3 linked regions of the Arabidopsis thaliana genome follow. The protein of the gene in region 2 interacts with the protein of the main gene of each other region in a pairwise test. Each region holds a gene or a part of one and is shown on either strand. Other genes may lie near its edges.

Region 1 (3,550 bases), on a different chromosome or scaffold from region 2:
AGTGAAACACTATAGGTAAGTTTAACTCTAGTCTACTGAGTGTATATATGTCTGATTGATTCAAGTCCGCTAAGTTCAACCAGCTGCCATCACATTTATCTTTCTGCTTGATATCTATGTTCTTCTTTTCTTTTCTGGTCTTTTAGTTTCAACATCTTTAGCCGAACAATAATAATTTGTACTGTTATTACTTGACATCTTGGCATCAGAGATATGTGGGAGAAGTCAATGAATGGTCTGCTAAGCTTGGTTAAGAAATCAACACCTTTGTCGTTTACATATATCTGTGAGAAGAGTGGAAATTCTTTGATCGATAAGGTAAACCCATCTGTTCATTGTTTCCATTGTATTACGTGAAAATTCTTCATCGCCTGGCATTTCCAATCTCATTATTTCTCATATATATTAAGATGGATGAATTGGCATGCTTTGCTCCTGGAATGTTGGCTTTAGGAGCATCTGGGTATAGTGATCCTGCTGAAGGAAAGAAGTTTCTCACACTCGCTGAAGAGGTAAACTTATGACTTGAATGATCTTTGATCATAGCGTCGTAAGTGCTTCAGATCTTTCGAATTTTTCGCTCTCTGCTTTTCTGATTTAGGCTGCTGAGATATAGCCTTTATTGCTATTTTCCACATATTTTGCAGCTTGCGTGGACATGTTATAACTTTTACCAATCAACTCCAACAAAACTGGCTGGGGAGAATTATTTCTTCAACTCTGGGAGTGTATGTCATTTGCCTGTCTTTTTCAAACACATTGTTTATTTTATGCGTTATTTATTGTTTAGTATACATGATGATTCAGGACATGAGTGTTGGAACGTCGTGGAACATCTTGAGACCAGAAACTGTCGAATCACTGTTTTACCTCTGGCGGTTAACTGGAAACAAGACATATCAAGAGTGGGGATGGAATATATTTGAAGCATTTGAGAAGAACTCGCGCATAGAGTCTGGATATGTTGGTTTGAAGGATGTAAGTTTTCCGTAGGCGCTTAATTAGATCCTGCATTGTTAAAACCTTGGTGAATTGAATTATATCATTCCACCATCTATATTAGTAATTGAGTGTAACTGATGGTAGATTCTTATTTCTTTCAATCATTTCCAGGTTAATACAGGCGTTAAGGACAACAAGATGCAAAGTTTCTTCCTTGCAGAGACACTCAAGTATCTCTATCTACTCTTCTCGCCGACAACAGTCATTCCTTTAGACGAGTGGGTATTCAACACCGAAGCTCATCCACTTAAGATTAAGTCTCGAAACGATCAGGTAAATCTCAAACAATCCAACAAAGTACTGCTACGAAAACCGGCATTTAGAATACGCCAGAGGCATTATGGTCGGATAACAAAGAAGTAAAACTCCCTGGAGAGGTCACAGTGTGATTCGTAGGAGGGGCTCTATGGATATATCTTAACAGAGCAATTGGATTTAGCTTGGCTATTCAAAGACCCTTTTATTTAAGAAACCATTTTTGGAAAGATTTCAAGATATAGACTATTGTTGTACTAGTTGGGATCAGAACCCAAACAGGTTCACCACAGTTTACACCTTGTGTTTTGTATCCTTACTCCTTAGATTATAAATTAAGAGTATTATCTTCTGTTTTGTATTCGACAAAAGATCAATGTATAAAAGTTTATATAAAAGACTGCAACAATGCAGAAGAAATGTAATGGAAGCAACCAAGAAAAGAAGAAGAAGCAATTTGCAATGAGACCAAGTCTCTGAAAAGACATTAGTGTTGACTAAATCTCCACGTCACACCAAAAGGAAGACGAATGACTTGGCGGCTAGTGTAATAGTTTTAAAAATGACCACATAATCTCACCAGCCTCAAAACCTCACGACACGTCATTCTCTCCAATTCTACAAACACCATTCATTTCATTTCCCTAAAAAATTATGGCTCATGTAAGTTTCTTTGATGTGTGAACTGTGGAAGAGACTACTCTCATCAACCATGAACCATAAAAACTCCACCGCTCTTTCTCTCCCTCAATCATTTACATCTCTTCCTTAAATCTCTCTTCCCACCATCATCATTCCAAACCAATTCTCTCTCACTTCTTTCTGGTGATCAGAGAGATCGACTCAATGGTGAGCTTTTGCGAGCTTTGTGGTGCCGAAGCTGATCTCCATTGTGCCGCGGACTCTGCCTTCCTCTGCCGTTCTTGTGACGCTAAGTTCCATGCCTCAAATTTTCTCTTCGCTCGTCATTTCCGGCGTGTCATCTGCCCAAATTGCAAATCTCTTACTCAAAATTTCGTTTCTGGTCCTCTTCTTCCTTGGCCTCCACGAACAACATGTTGTTCAGAATCGTCGTCTTCTTCTTGCTGCTCGTCTCTTGACTGTGTCTCAAGCTCCGAGCTATCGTCAACGACGCGTGACGTAAACAGAGCGCGAGGGAGGGAAAACAGAGTGAATGCCAAGGCCGTTGCGGTTACGGTGGCGGATGGCATTTTTGTAAATTGGTGTGGTAAGTTAGGACTAAACAGGGATTTAACAAACGCTGTCGTTTCATATGCGTCTTTGGCTTTGGCTGTGGAGACGAGGCCAAGAGCGACGAAGAGAGTGTTCTTAGCGGCGGCGTTTTGGTTCGGCGTTAAGAACACGACGACGTGGCAGAATTTAAAGAAAGTAGAAGATGTGACTGGAGTTTCAGCTGGGATGATTCGAGCGGTTGAAAGCAAATTGGCGCGTGCAATGACGCAGCAGCTTAGACGGTGGCGCGTGGATTCGGAGGAAGGATGGGCTGAAAACGACAACGTTTGAGAAATATTATTGACATGGGTCCCGCATTATGCAAATTAGGACATTTAGTGTTTAGTGCCTTAATTATAGTTTGTGTCATTGATCTGTTTGATCTTTCTTTTCAACGTAAACTAAAAATGGTCTGAACCAATTGAGATGATAGATATTTCTTTAGAGGAGATTTAATTTTTTTAATCAACAGTAAGAAGATTTTAGAAACGGAATAATGGTAATCCAATAGTCATTATCAGGTTCTTTTGAGATGAAATTGAAATCTTTTCTTTCCCAATTTTTTTAAACAAAGATAATTTCTTAGAATATTATGTTATTATCAATAAAAATTGTAAATTGAAAAGAAACTGATTTTCTTATTTCAAGGAAAATTCGTTATTATCAACATCAAAACAAAACAAAAGAGAATAGAAAATACATCAAAAGTAATTCCTAAGGACAAAAGTAATCGTAATCCAACTATAAAAAAAAAGCCAAAAGAAAAAGAAAAACCCTTATATGTATGTGTGTGTTATACAAACCCTACTCTGGAAAAGTCCTAATTCCTAAAGCTACTTTCAACAAAGACGCCTGAAGCATCTGCCTATAGTGAAAGATCAGAAGACTCTTCAACCAAAATCTTATTCTCATCCACCATGGAAGCTCTCTTCACTTCAACACACACACCCAATTTACAGACTAAGCCTCTCCTCAAATCTCCGCTGCCCACTTCTTCCCAGTCTTCGTGTTGGTTTTGTAATTCGCTACCCAAAACGCAATTCCCGAAGCTGAGACTCAG
Region 2 (5,356 bases):
TCGTGAATGATAAGATTATTATCTTTTGATAAGATAAAGATAGAAAATGATCATGCAACAACAAAAAAGGAAACTTCCTGAAAGAAGATAAGCTTAGTTCGGAAGACTACTTGGGCCGTCCCCTGAAACAGAAGTTTATCGCGCAAGAATAATTGGGCCTTATATCAGATCCTTTGGCCCAGCCCGTTAGTATTAGACAAGACCAGTTGCGTGCGTCATTGTTGAATATTTCGAAGTTTGATGATCGATCGTCGCTCAAAATTTAGGGCTTTTCACTTCACAATCCCGATTTGGGGTTTTCTGGTAAACTCCTTTAATCTCAGCTCGTCAGACAAAATCGATCTGGGATGAATTTGGATCTAATTGAGCAAAAAATTGTGTTTTTTCAATCTATTGAATTTCACATCCTTAAACCCTTGCATATTCAATCTATTGAATTTCGCATATTTTTCCTCAAATTTATCCAAAATCATCCCAAATCTATTGTGACGGGTTGAAAGTAAGTTTCTTTATCGAAAATCAGTTTGAATGAATGTTAGGGTTTATATTTTGATGGTGACTGATTCCGATTTGTATAAATGTTAGGGTTTATACTGGTTTCTGACTCTCTGGTAAGTATAGAGATGATTATATATTAAATGGTGTTTTAAGGCGTGTTCAGATATAGCTGTGCTTGTGTTGTTCTGTTTTGGCATTTTTCATTTGTTCTGTCTTTACTTCTTCTTAGTCAGTCTGTGGATTTCCTTTGTAATGGTTATTGGTTAGTTAGGAACTACTCTCAGGCCTTCTTCACATGACACCAAAGTTTTTTGTGGATTATGTGGAGGAAATTGCTATTTTAGTATATGGTCATTGAAGCAAGATAAGAACCTTAGAAAGCAGAGTGTTATAATTTTTCTGTCAAACTCATGCTGTAGTTGCAGACTTTTTCCTACTTCAGATTAAGGAGAATGGTTTTTTTTTTGTAAGCAAGAAGTTAAAAGAGTGAGAATCTATGAAGGCCCAGGGACCATGTAAAGTTTGGGAATGGTTTTAAAATTTGATGGCTTTGAGAATCGATCTGAACTATCCTTAGATTTTTGGAAAAGTGCAAAAAAGTGCAAAGTGCAGCATCCTTATATCACTTTATGAACTTTTCACGTGAGGTCTCGAATCCATCACTTAACATTAACACATAGTATAAGCTATACACTTGGTTGTTATTACTTATTTCTTCTTACAGTTCTTGAAGCCGAGAACATATATGGCTGATGGTTTCTACAATTAGGAACGTGATATGACTCATTTTAGTAAGAAGTTGTGATTTACAGCTGAGGAGTCTGTGTTATCAACTTGAATTGTAGAATCTTTTTGTTGTCAGGGAGGCGTGAAAGTGTCACATGTTCAGGTTATCGGGAAGTTATTGGCTTTGAACCTTGGCTTCCCTCTTAGTAGTTAGCAAGGTGAAATCTGCGTTTTCACTTCTTGATGATCCATATTTCACAAATGGGGATCTGTACCAATTAGACTGGTTTTGTTTAACTAATGCAGAGAAAGAAGAATACTATAGTTTTAATTAGCCAAAACTACAAACCCATTTGCACAACAGTAGTAATACTTCTTGAAGCTAAGAATTTCACCAAACCTAACATAATCTCAAACTAAAAGTAATTTACAGCTTGCAATCTAGTTTTTCTTTTTGCCACAGGAGTATCAGAATGAAGGAACAATCCCATATCCTGTGTTGTACATTAGCATCGTGTTGAACCCTTGCTCCTCGGCTTCGATTTCTCTCTTTGCGAACCGGCCATTGACCCGCGGTCTTATCTCTGCATATGCCTTCCTCGAAGCATACCTTATTGTCTTCTCAAATTTCCTTGTCTTCCTCTTCTCTCTGTATCTCAGGACCCTGGCTTCTCTGTCCATTGGACTGAGTTGTGTTACTGTTATCATCTGGCTTGCAGGGTCAGGTTGTTGCTCTACTGTCCCTTTGGGCGTTCTTGGGTGTGAAGCTGTTGTGACACATGCTGTTGACTCCGGCACAACACCAGTTTCCATGGATGAAATGTATGCCTAATGACAGAAACAAAGACATTCTCAATCCCCCTGGTAAGAGGACTAAAGAGAGTCGATGCAAAAGGAAGCATATATTGTTTTTATTATAGACTTCTGGTGAAATTTCTATGTGCTATAGATCAACTGTTGGCAGTGGATCAGTGGATTTGTGTGTATGATGAAAGAATTCACCCTGCTGCGTTATGGGAAGATGCTAAATTGAAGGGGTAACAAATATACAAAAGCCTTACGTTATGGTTAATGGAACCATTGTCGTTGTAGTGAGTCCCTGAGGAGCCATATTTGATATTGAACTGAAAATTCTGTTGGTTATGGCACTGGTGGCCCCTTGATTCTTCAAGTTTAAGCGGAACAACTCTATCTCCCCCGTAGCTCGTCTGTGGTACGCTGCAGTTTTGTTGGTGTTGACTGTATTCACCTGTGAATTTGTAGTCCATACTCGAGTTGTAATCCACAAGGTTTAGATACTCATCACTAAACAATAACCCATTGTTTTGGTTATTGTTATTTTTGTCTGAATTAGGGAACAGCCACGAAGCAACCTCCTTGGCATCCTTATCACCTTCTTCACCTTCCTCTTGATCCACCACCAGTCTCTTCTCTGGATCGGTCATTGTTTTCTCGCTTTGGTGGTGAGTAGTGGTCATGGAGCTGAAAGAGTTTCCAGAAATTGGTAGAATTGGAACTCGCTGATGGCGTCTAGCAAGTGGGTTTGCAGAATGAACCTCTGAATCACAGGCTGTGCATAGAGAGGCATCATCTGCCTCACACAAAAAAGCAGCCGGAGCACGCTCACATGACTCGCAGACCCGGACACGTTTATGGCGGGAAGCAACGCGATTGGCAGAGTGAACTTGAGCATCACAGCTCATGCACAAGTAGGCAGAATCTGCATGGCAATACACGGTGCAGGCGTTTGACCGGCATGTGTCACAGGGTCGTGCCCTGTTGTTCTCTCCACTACCTATGTCGTTACTCTCTTGTTTCAACATAATAACTCAGATGTAGTAAGTTTGATGGTGTGGGAGCTGGTATCTGAAAGAAGGGGCTAATAAAGCTTATATCTGGTGTGAGAGAATAAGTAGAGGGGAGATCGAATCCTGAGTGCCTACACGTGGCACAGCGTTAGTGGCTCTTACATGTTATTGGATCCTCTTGCAGCTAGTTGAGCTTTTGGGAAGGCCTATGTGTAAAGTGTAAAGTGTAAAGTGTAAAGTGTAAACATCTCCTCCTATGCACTTCTTCGTTGGGACCCGTTCACAAGTTGCTTAGGTTTTGCCACTTGCCATACTGAGATTCTCAAGAGGAAGTGGTCCGGATAATGCCATGGTGTTGCAGGCAAATTGTTACTATTTTTTCGTATCACCTTTTACTATTTTCATATGCATTTTATTTAAAGTAAAGCTAGATTCGTTTTATCTCTTTGGCTTTATACAAAGTTTAAGTGGTTGAATATTCATCCTGAACCTTGTGATTACTGTTCAGGTATCTCTCCGAGTAAGGCTTCGAGTGTCAGAGCCATCACCAACTGTTATGGGTTGACTACCTATACAAAGGTTAGACAAACTCGTGAATATGGTATAGTTGTTGTTCCATTATTTGTGAATGCATCTGCATCATTTAGAAAGATTTGCAATTGAAACTTTCGAAGGATTTTCTGATGAAAAGTGTTATAATGTTTAATCTGGTTCATAAAGTCATGGTAATGAGAATCATATCGGAAAAGTGACATGAAAAACATAGAGACGGTGGATTTTCTAGGATCAAACTCGAATCCGCCAAGTAGTCTTGAGACTACAAATTAGAATTTACCTGACGCACAAGTTAAAACTTAAAAGGCATTTTGGAGTCCACATGAGCAATAATTAGATTTATCATATATAGTATGTAGAAATTTGCACTTGGTAACCATTATAGTAAGTAGTTACAAAACATGACTCATGAGTGTTGTCACATCTCTGTAATTTGGGTTTATGATGATACTCTATACTATTTATTGTAGCTTTATTAGATCTCAACCTGTGGAAGTAATCTAATACAAACGACACTTGTATGGAATTTTCAGGACATGTTTCTAAGATCACAGAGGTAATTGTGAAGTTTTCTGCTACACTCATTTACTAGTCCACATGATCCATAGATGCAATTTAACCATCTTCACTCTATTTGGTGACCCATTCATGTGTTTAGCATCGTGGGTTTTCCTGTACTAATAACCATTAGTACTTGGAGTTGCCTTGTTGGTGTTATGCTCATAATGTTTACTATGTGGAAGCTACAGGATACGATACTCTCTAGGTTTGAGGACTAGCTCCAGTTACGCTTTTGGGTCCAGTGAATGTATGATACCCATTATGTGGTCCAAAAAGAATGAGATTTGACGGACGCTCTAGTGGCCAAATTCATATGGCTACCTTCACTCTATGCCTTAAGAGCTGAAAAGTGAGTGTTTTTTTTTTGTATAAAATGCTGGTCCTAGGATACACTTTTCGCATCTCTTCCTCTTTCATATTTGCTTACACCGCACTTCTCTTTCCCATTTTGAACTTTAAACTTTGAAAAGTTTTTTTTTGCTTGGTAATTGGAACTTAACATACAAGTTCTTGTTATTTACTGGTTTTACGATGAATGTAATGGCATTTAGAATTGTTATGAAATGGTTATATGATCATTGAATTCTAAAGAAAAGATTCTAGGTTCTTTAGTAAGCATTTTTGGAGATCTTTATCCTGCCAAGTTGGATAAGTTGAGGCATCTTTGGCTTTTAGTGCTTTGGTGATGAAATTTTTTGGAGATTGTAACGTGGTTCGAGTTCATGAAGAGTAAATTGTGTATTGGCCTTTTCACTTGTAGCTCAAGAAAAAAGTAGTTTTGCTTATTATTGCTCGTTGACAGTCTCTAATTAAGTTTATTGTTGTAGCGGTTTGGAACTTCTCTCACATGTGTAGGCCTTCGGATAACTGTTACGAGTAATAGATCATATGTAACAATATCCTCAAAGTTGCATCGAGATTTTCAAGAAAACACTATTGCTTATTTGTTTTCATTCTTTATCAGGTTTCCGTGGTTTCGAATACTTTGCTTCTTTCAGATTAACGAAAACCCTATTTAGTTGCAAAGACTGAGAAGAGAATAAGAGTCGAGGGACCATATAAAGCTTGTAATTGTACGTTTATGCGGATTCTCCACTTTCCATGGCTGTGAGAAACTATCTGAGGAAAAGTGCAGTGACCTTTGGCAAAAGGTAATCACTTTTATGCACTTTCACGTGCTAGCTCGAATCCACACCAAATAGTAACAT
Region 3 (7,818 bases), 2.0 Mb from region 2:
ATTCCTCAGTCGAACTCAGCTCAGCAATCTCAACAAGGTCCAACTTTCCAGCCACCAGGGATAATGTATTACGGAGCTCCACACCATTCTTAAAATAGAAATGATGTTAGTTAATAGCTTTAGATAGTTCTGACCCTTTTTATCTGCTCGAATGCGGTTTCGATGTTACATTGTTGGGTCAAATCAAAGTAGAACTACTGTTCCTCTGGTTGTAGAATCCTCACCTTTTCCCGTTACAGATATTTGTACCACAAGTTTCTACAACATAATGTAATAATTTCTCCTGTTCACTCTCTATCTCCTTCCTGTATGTATGTATACTTCTATACCTTAAGAACCGAACTGACTCAAACATGGAGACATAAGAGATTCAATTAACAATTTGAACAAAGCTTTTACATTCGTGTTTAAGGTACATTCTGTCTTAAACCCCAACCTGATTATCACTTCTTCATTAAAACCTGCTTCTGGAAAAAATCTTTGAGCCATAAGGGCATATGATACATGACTGCCATGAGGGTTGAATACCTGCCTGACGAGAACCAAGCGGGTGGATTCTTCTTCAGCACTGCGGCTACAGTGTCTCTGGCAAATGTTTCTGCAGGAGTTGGATTCATCCTCTGTGATATAAACGCCCTTTCTCTGATAGCTTCTTCATAAGGCTTGTATAGTTTCAGCTCAGGCATTTTGTTGAAAGTTGCCACAGCTGAGTTTGCTATGTTTGTTCTTATTCCTCCCGGGACAACATTGATGACATCAATCCCAAACGGACGAAGCTCCAACCTGACGTTAAGCAGGAAACATTACAAAACAATTGACAAACCAAAACCATCCGGTGCTGGATAATTTGAACAACTACACTTGTCATGAACATCAAGAATCATCAACCTAACCCAACATCAGACTTTAGTCCTCAGAAATAATGATACTCAAGTTTGATCACACCTTAAAAAAAGATTAGACCATTTCAACAATTTTTAGTTTACTACCATCAAATCTCCATTGACAGAACAAACAGAATATATATCAGCATGCGACATAGGAAGATTATTCAAACGACACAAATAGCGGCGTTTGATAAGTTAAAACAGTGGAACCAAATCTGAAAACGGTAAAAGCAAACCTCAGAGTATCGGTAAGAGCATGAATAGCAGCTTTGGTAGCTGTATAGACACCAGCCCATGGACCAGGTGCCATAACAGTGATACTTCCAACGTTGACAATCTTTCCCTTTTTCTTAGACACCATGTGTGGTACAACAGCTTGAGTCATCCTCATGGAACCTGCATTGAAAAATTCACTTCTTCAAAACTCTCCTAACAGCCCAAACGCAACACACATGATCAACACGTATTTGAGTTCCTTGAATGTCCACAGAATCAACATTTGAAATGGATTGTAAATTCCAATGATTCACTAATAAGCAAAAAAACCAGAACTGTTGAAGCTCCAATAAATGTAATAATTGAAACTAAAAATCAAATCTTTATTACCAAAAACATTGGTGTTGAATGTGTTTTCCATGGCGGAAATTGGAGTCTCCGCCAGAGGTCCAACGCACTGAACTCCGGCGTTATTAACAAGAACGTCGATCTTACCGAACTTATCAATAACCTCCGACAAAACCTTACTCACATTCTGGTCCGATTGCACATCAAGCTCCTTCACGAATAACCTCGAATCTTGCTCCAGATCCGTCATCGTACTCCGTGATCGACTCGTCGCCACCACTCGACATCCCTTCTCAGTGAACTCACGGGCCAGCGCGTGACCAATTCCTCCCTGAGAACATCCCGTAATTAGAACCACCGGACTCTCATCGCCACTCTCCATTTTAGAGTTCCGTGGAACAACAACAATGGAATTTTTTTTTTTGTGCAAACCAACAAATTTCAGAGATTAATTAATGCATCGGATTAGGCTTAATTACTACGATGATTTGTTTTTTCTTACTACGACACCGTTTCCATTAACTTACAAGAAACTGTACTTAAAAACTAACCCAAAAGAGTATAAAACCAAAGCTTGTAGAACTCGAAACTTAAAGCAACATGCCCTCTGGTGATTAGAGAAGCAAATGAAAGTAACATCATGCCTAAACTAGATTTCCAGCATGAGGTTCAAACGTGACTTATAGTACAAGGATGAAACATAGTTAAGCAGAAAAAAGCCACTAGAAACCGCCACAGCAAACTGAGATTTAGCTTCAAATTTCCTCATCAGACTTTCAATCTTCTTCTCCTCAATCCCAAACATCATCAACCACCCAACCTCCGCTGTATTCGATGCTTTCTCTGCCGTTGTATTCACCTTTTGGTTACATTCATCTGCCACTAATATTGCTATGTCCGCCGATGAATCCATTGTTGGATCTTCCTATATCAGTTGTCTGTCTCCAATTCTATGCCAAAGATACACGAAGCTATTTATACTGGCTTCAGTGTGCGGGTTTTGAATGAGGAATGTTCCACTTTCTTTTTATGTTAATCATATCACATTACTTTCTATTGGCTTTGATGGTTTCTTTAAAGAGAAAATTGGCTAGGTTGGTTTATTGATACCGTGTGTGCACCAATACTTGTTTTAGTTACAGACAATGGTTTTAAAAACCTCGATTAGTCGGCATTGTCCAAATAATATTATACTTTTTGTGAAATCATTTTATTCCTCATTATCGAAACCCAAATCTGTTCAAAACACTTTATTGGGCCATAAATTATTATTTCTCAATCTTATGTTACAAGCCCAATTTTATATAAACTTACTTACAGCCCATTTCTCGACATTTTCAGTTTTTGACAAAAAAACTTTTTGGTTTCAAATTAAATCTTTCTTCTCTTTGTGGGCTTTCAAAACTGATGGGGATGCTCTTACAACTCATGATTTTTTGTTTCGGGGGATCAGGAAATGATAGGTCTCGTTCCACGACGATTTTAATAATCTTCTTTTAGATTATCTATCTTTTACTTCAACCAAAATTACTATTAGACGAAAGATGTTGACCAGAATACGTATTTTATTTTTGATAAATATTCAGCTTTTATATAATATAGTAGAAGAAAAGAGTAAAGTAAAAGAAGAAGATAAAATGTAGTCAAAGGTAGGAACCAAAAGGAAAGAGAAGAAAAGGAAGTTAATCTTAACATGATGATAGTTCCCATTTTGTCTTGGGGATAATGTCGCAAAGACTTCCTCAATTTTCTTACTTTCTTCCTATTTTACGTTCTTTTTCTTTTGTTTCTAGAAAGACATATATCTTTATTTGATATATTATATTCATATGAAATTTAGAAAGAATGTAAGATATATATATATATATATATATAATGAGTATTTAGAAAGTAAGTTACTTCGATTAATTAATCAACTTGGCTATAAAAACTATTATGAGTCAAATGTACATATGAACAATCTACTCAATTGGCTACTTCACAAATCTATCTATTTGTTTCAAGAAAATCCTTGCAATGAAATTCATCGAATAAAAACATCATACCTTTACACCTATTTAGTGGATAAGTGTGATCTACTTCTACAGTTGCACTGCCTTCTTTTGTTCCTTTTCACGTCAAACACACTCACATTTGAGCATACATAAATAGAAACAACAATATCTCTAAAACATTACTTAAAAAACTTTCAAGTTTGCTTCGATTTACCTGGCATTCGTATCCTTTTTATCCCTTCGTCCAAAACATTTTTCCAAATGTCGAGTGGCTCGGGACCAAATCCCAAAACATTTTGTCATTCTTAACTTTTCAAATAATCTAAAAAGTTTTATGGGAAATTAAGGATTATCCGCCAACTACGGATTGTCTTGACTAGGTTCTTCCATATTATATAGTCAAAATTCGGAAAAAATCAAGCTTTTTCGAAAGATTTCCGGTGCCGAAAAAACAGTTGATAATTAAAGTCCATGTTTGTAAATTCGAATGACATTAAAAATGTATAACTTATCGTCTCAGCTTTTGCTTCAAAATGGGAACAATATTGAACCACACTACATTTAACTGGGTGTTAACACGCCAACATAAATCACTTTCATATAAAATGTTTTATCTTTGGTGTACTATTTATCGTTCACGAATGATTGGCTCTACGTTCAGGCACTCAATCATATATAGAATCCTTTCTATAATATTTTATAAATTAAACAAAACTAAAAGATAATATCTTTTAGAATGTAGAAGTCGAGTTAAATATTACAGGGTTCGTGAAAACTCAAAGATTGAATTCAAGACATGAATATTGTTAGCCAAAAATACAAATGAAAAAAGAAGAGTGACGACACCCACTCTTAGTGGCAAACCACTTTTTTTTAATAAGATAGCACTTGGGAAGAATTCCACAAATAGGTAAAAGCAAAGAGTTTGTGCGTCATGTCTCATTAATATCTTTTCGAATTTATTTATTTTCATTGTTAATGTTTTTTGTATTCTAATACTGTTAATACATTATTCATATTTTGAAAAAATTGTGTCGACATAGGACTCTTCCCTCAATGACGTCTTCATTCATAGCCTTCTTTCTTTTGTTTGCTAAATGACTTCACTCACAGCCCTTAATCATATGGAAAAGAAAAAATTATGTGTGAATATGTCAGGAAACTAATTACTGCCAGGCAAACAATGTAATACGTGAACAAGAATAATATACGTATGAATGTATGATAACATACTAAAGGAAAAGGGAAAGTTGGTTAGATACTGTTTACACGGAAAAATGCACCAAATCACATAAATTAGTTAGTATTCGTTGTGTTTAAAATAATTAGTAAAGAGGCAAGTGGATAGAAGTTGTGGTCACCCAACACAAATATGTCTCCGACTCCAATGCAAGTTGAAGAGCCAATCTGTTCTAAATCAAAAATAATTCAATATTTCTTTATCAGCTAAGTGATTCCTTCGCAAAGGTTCGTTTATCTTTTTCAGTATATAAATATTATCAAATAGTACAACAAGACGTATATGTGAATCTTTTTCGTTGGCATAACCTGGATATAAACTATACCTAAATGCAGGCCTGCCTAAATGTTGATATAATTTTATTATATAAGCGTTGCTTAGTAAGTTGAAAACTTTAAAGATTACATGCTTATCGGTCTCTTGTTTTGCTTATAGAGAAACCTCAATATTATTGTTCTCTTATATATATTGGGTAATCTTAACCCAATATTTGGTCAGCATGCTATAGAACTATCAAAACTAATGACTACGCGCATCTTATTTTTTTATTTTGACGTCAGGCTTGCGATTATGTCAAGTACTTTGTTTTGATTGATGTCTTATAAATCCCAACATAGAAGTTAGAAAGTTTAACCGCTTCTCTCATTCCCGCGACAAATCTTACCACAATAATATGATTTAGTAATTTACCCTCTTCCCACGCGCTACTAAGCCGCGCGTGTGCCGTCAATTGGCACGTCATCACCGACGAGACTCGCCGCAAACTTTGACGTGTGATGGATAATAAATATATCGTTGGAAAACTTAAAAGAGTATGAATTATTATTACTGAATAATTTTCCAATATACTTGGTGTGTAACATCAGCGAGGTAGTGGAGACATGACAAATGAGAGAAATACAGAATAACCAGAAACAAAATTAAATTAGTAATCGAATAAATTATGGACTTAAAGGTATCTTAAACATGTCAAAATTTGGTTTTTGACTGTGTAGCTGATGTATCTAGTACATATACTTAAAGGACAAATATCACCGAAGAATCAACAAACCAAAAAAAAAAACAGAAATAAATGTTAGTATATATATTTTTATTGACATTTATTAGGATATAGAAAAATTTAGAAAACTCAATCAAAGGTCTCTCTTTTAAAGTTGTCGTGTTCTCTCTTGAATGATTCTTCTTCTCCTTCTTCGAGATGACAAGTTCAGAGAACGAGATTTTACCATCCCTTATTCTATCAGACCGGTTTAAGCTGCAGATTTCTAGGCTTAGCGTTCGATTTCGTCGCTGAAAGTGAAAAGTTCATCTAGCTTTAGTTTTCTCTTTTCATGGTTTCCGCGGGAAAAGTTCGTCTTTTTTGAAGCCCTTTTGACACAAAAGACCAGAACAAGGTTCGACTTCGGATCTCTCTTCTTTCTGAATTTTCATCTCTTGGTTGATATGAATATCATTATCTCTGCTTGACTGCAAAAAAAGGTTCAAACTTTGTGTTTCTCTGTTTCATTCTCTTATTGAAGCTGTAACTTTTATTCTGATGGTTGCTTCTGATATACCATTTCATGATTTGCTATGTGATAATTTGGTTCTATATCTTATAATCGAATCTTGACTTTTATAACAAGAATGTTATATCAAATCACTGGGTGAGAGTAATGGATTTTTTTTCCTTATTGGGAGGTGTTTAAGATGGTCCACCATTAGTGGCTAAAAGAAGAAGATACAGTAGGAACCAATAACTGACAATGACATTAGAGTTTGGTCTGTTTTTGGAAATGCAATTAGAGGTTTTGAGAACAAAATTCAGTGACTTGTATCTATTTGACAACCTTTCAAAAGACACTAGTAAAAGAACAGGGCTTTTCGGGTGTATATGATGACTCCGATGTTTCGCCATATCAATGGAGCTTATAGATGTAGGGAAGGTAGTAGCTAGCGTTGACGAATTGGGTGATGGATAATGACTTAATGTCACAACCTTTGCTTTTGGCTGCAAATCACTTACATATCTCTTTAACTTGTGATCTTGTATCTTTTGCAATTCTTGACTTTGATGAATGAAGTTTTGTATTTTTTTTTTTTTGTTTTGTTGCTAGTTGAAGAAATATGAATACAACCTCGACACATTTTGTTCCACCGAGAAGGTTTGAAGTTTACGAGCCTCTCAACCAAATCGGTATGTGGGAAGAAAGTTTCAAGAACAATGGAGACATGTATACGCCTGGCTCTATCATAATCCCGACTAACGAAAAACCAGACAGCTTGGTACTTCAAAGTTTGCTATATATTTCAGATAAAGTGAATTCAGAAACTAATGCTTGCTTTAATCTTTGTTCAGTCAGAGGATACTTCTCATGGGACAGAAGGAACTCCTCACAAGTTTGACCAAGAGGCTTCCACATCTAGACATCCTGATAAGGTAAGTTATAATATAGCTCATTTGGTTATCTTAATTCCTTGAAGATTTTGTCATTTTAATCTTTATGTCTTCACAGATACAGAGAAGGCTAGCACAGAATCGAGAGGCAGCTAGGAAAAGTCGTTTGCGCAAGAAAGTATGAAACTTTATGTTCCTGCAACTCGTAAAACAGTTTTGTTTTCTTTAAACTGAGCTATAGAGTATTTTCTTGCAGGCTTATGTTCAGCAGCTAGAGACTAGCCGGTTAAAGCTAATTCATTTAGAGCAAGAACTCGATCGTGCTAGACAACAGGTTTGCACAAAATATTATTCTTCCTTAAGTATCTTGTTGATGTAATAATATATGATCATAATGTTGCAGGGTTTCTATGTGGGGAACGGAGTAGATACCAATGCTCTTAGTTTCTCAGATAACATGAGCTCAGGTTTGAGTCTTCTTTCACCTTTAGCGTTTAGGTAGTTTCCATTTGATTTTGAGATTCATCAGTTTTCTTTTTCTTGTTAGGGATTGTTGCATTTGAGATGGAATATGGACATTGGGTGGAAGAACAGAACAGGCAAATATGTGAACTAAGAACGGTTTTACATGGACAAGTTAGTGATATAGAGCTTCGTTCTCTAGTCGAGAATGCCATGAAACATTACTTTCAACTCTTCCGAATGAAGTCAGCCGCTGCAAAAATCGATGTTTTCTATGTCATGTCCGGAATGTGG

The links. Proteins that work in one complex are often made in the same cells at the same time.
Region 1: the proteins of CO (region 2) and BBX32 interact in binary tests that used the Arabidopsis thaliana proteins (3 or more experiments, as listed by UniProt).
Region 3: the proteins of CO (region 2) and TGA4 interact in binary tests that used the Arabidopsis thaliana proteins (3 or more experiments, as listed by UniProt).

Annotation. Positions count from the first base shown.
Region 1 is NC_003074.8:7,411,944-7,415,493, reverse strand, and holds BBX32 (B-box 32), read left to right. Parts: upstream 1-1,766; 5' UTR 1,767-2,103; coding exon 2,104-2,781; 3' UTR 2,782-3,049; downstream 3,050-3,550. Other genes in the region: MNS2 (alpha-mannosidase 2), read left to right, coding at 1-15, 210-318, 411-512, 648-728, 808-978, 1,114-1,365; AT3G21140 (Pyridoxamine 5'-phosphate oxidase family protein), read left to right, coding at 3,408-3,550.
Region 2 is NC_003076.8:5,169,651-5,175,006, forward strand, and holds CO (B-box type zinc finger protein with CCT domain-containing protein), read right to left. Parts: upstream 3,436-5,356; 5' UTR 3,048-3,435; coding exon 2,286-3,047; coding exon of another isoform or gene 2,145-2,285; exon of another isoform or gene 2,053-2,144; coding exon 1,693-2,052; coding exon of another isoform or gene 1,688-1,692; 3' UTR 1,399-1,687; coding exon of another isoform or gene 1,361-1,398; 3' UTR 1,254-1,360; coding exon of another isoform or gene 1,244-1,253; 3' UTR 512-1,243; downstream 1-511. Other genes in the region: AT5G15843 (uncharacterized protein), read left to right, coding at 1,244-1,253, 1,361-1,398, 1,688-2,046, 2,145-2,261, 2,579-2,732. UniProt on the Arabidopsis thaliana protein: Transcription factor that acts in the long day flowering pathway and may mediate between the circadian clock and the control of flowering.
Region 3 is NC_003076.8:3,138,269-3,146,086, reverse strand, and holds the start of TGA4 (TGACG motif-binding factor 4), read left to right. Parts: upstream 1-1,833; 5' UTR 1,834-1,875; exon of another isoform or gene 1,876-1,887; intron 1,888-1,929; exon of another isoform or gene 1,930-2,100; coding exon of another isoform or gene 2,101-2,364; intron 2,365-5,577; exon of another isoform or gene 5,578-6,748; 5' UTR 6,749-6,791; coding exon 6,792-6,950; intron 6,951-7,023; coding exon 7,024-7,104; intron 7,105-7,180; coding exon 7,181-7,240; intron 7,241-7,318; coding exon 7,319-7,396; intron 7,397-7,465; coding exon 7,466-7,529; intron 7,530-7,609; coding exon 7,610-7,818. Other genes in the region: AT5G10060 (ENTH/VHS family protein), read left to right, coding at 1-93; AT5G10050 (NAD(P)-binding Rossmann-fold superfamily protein), read right to left, coding at 444-783, 1,124-1,283, 1,494-1,833; AT5G10040 (uncharacterized protein), read right to left, coding at 2,101-2,364.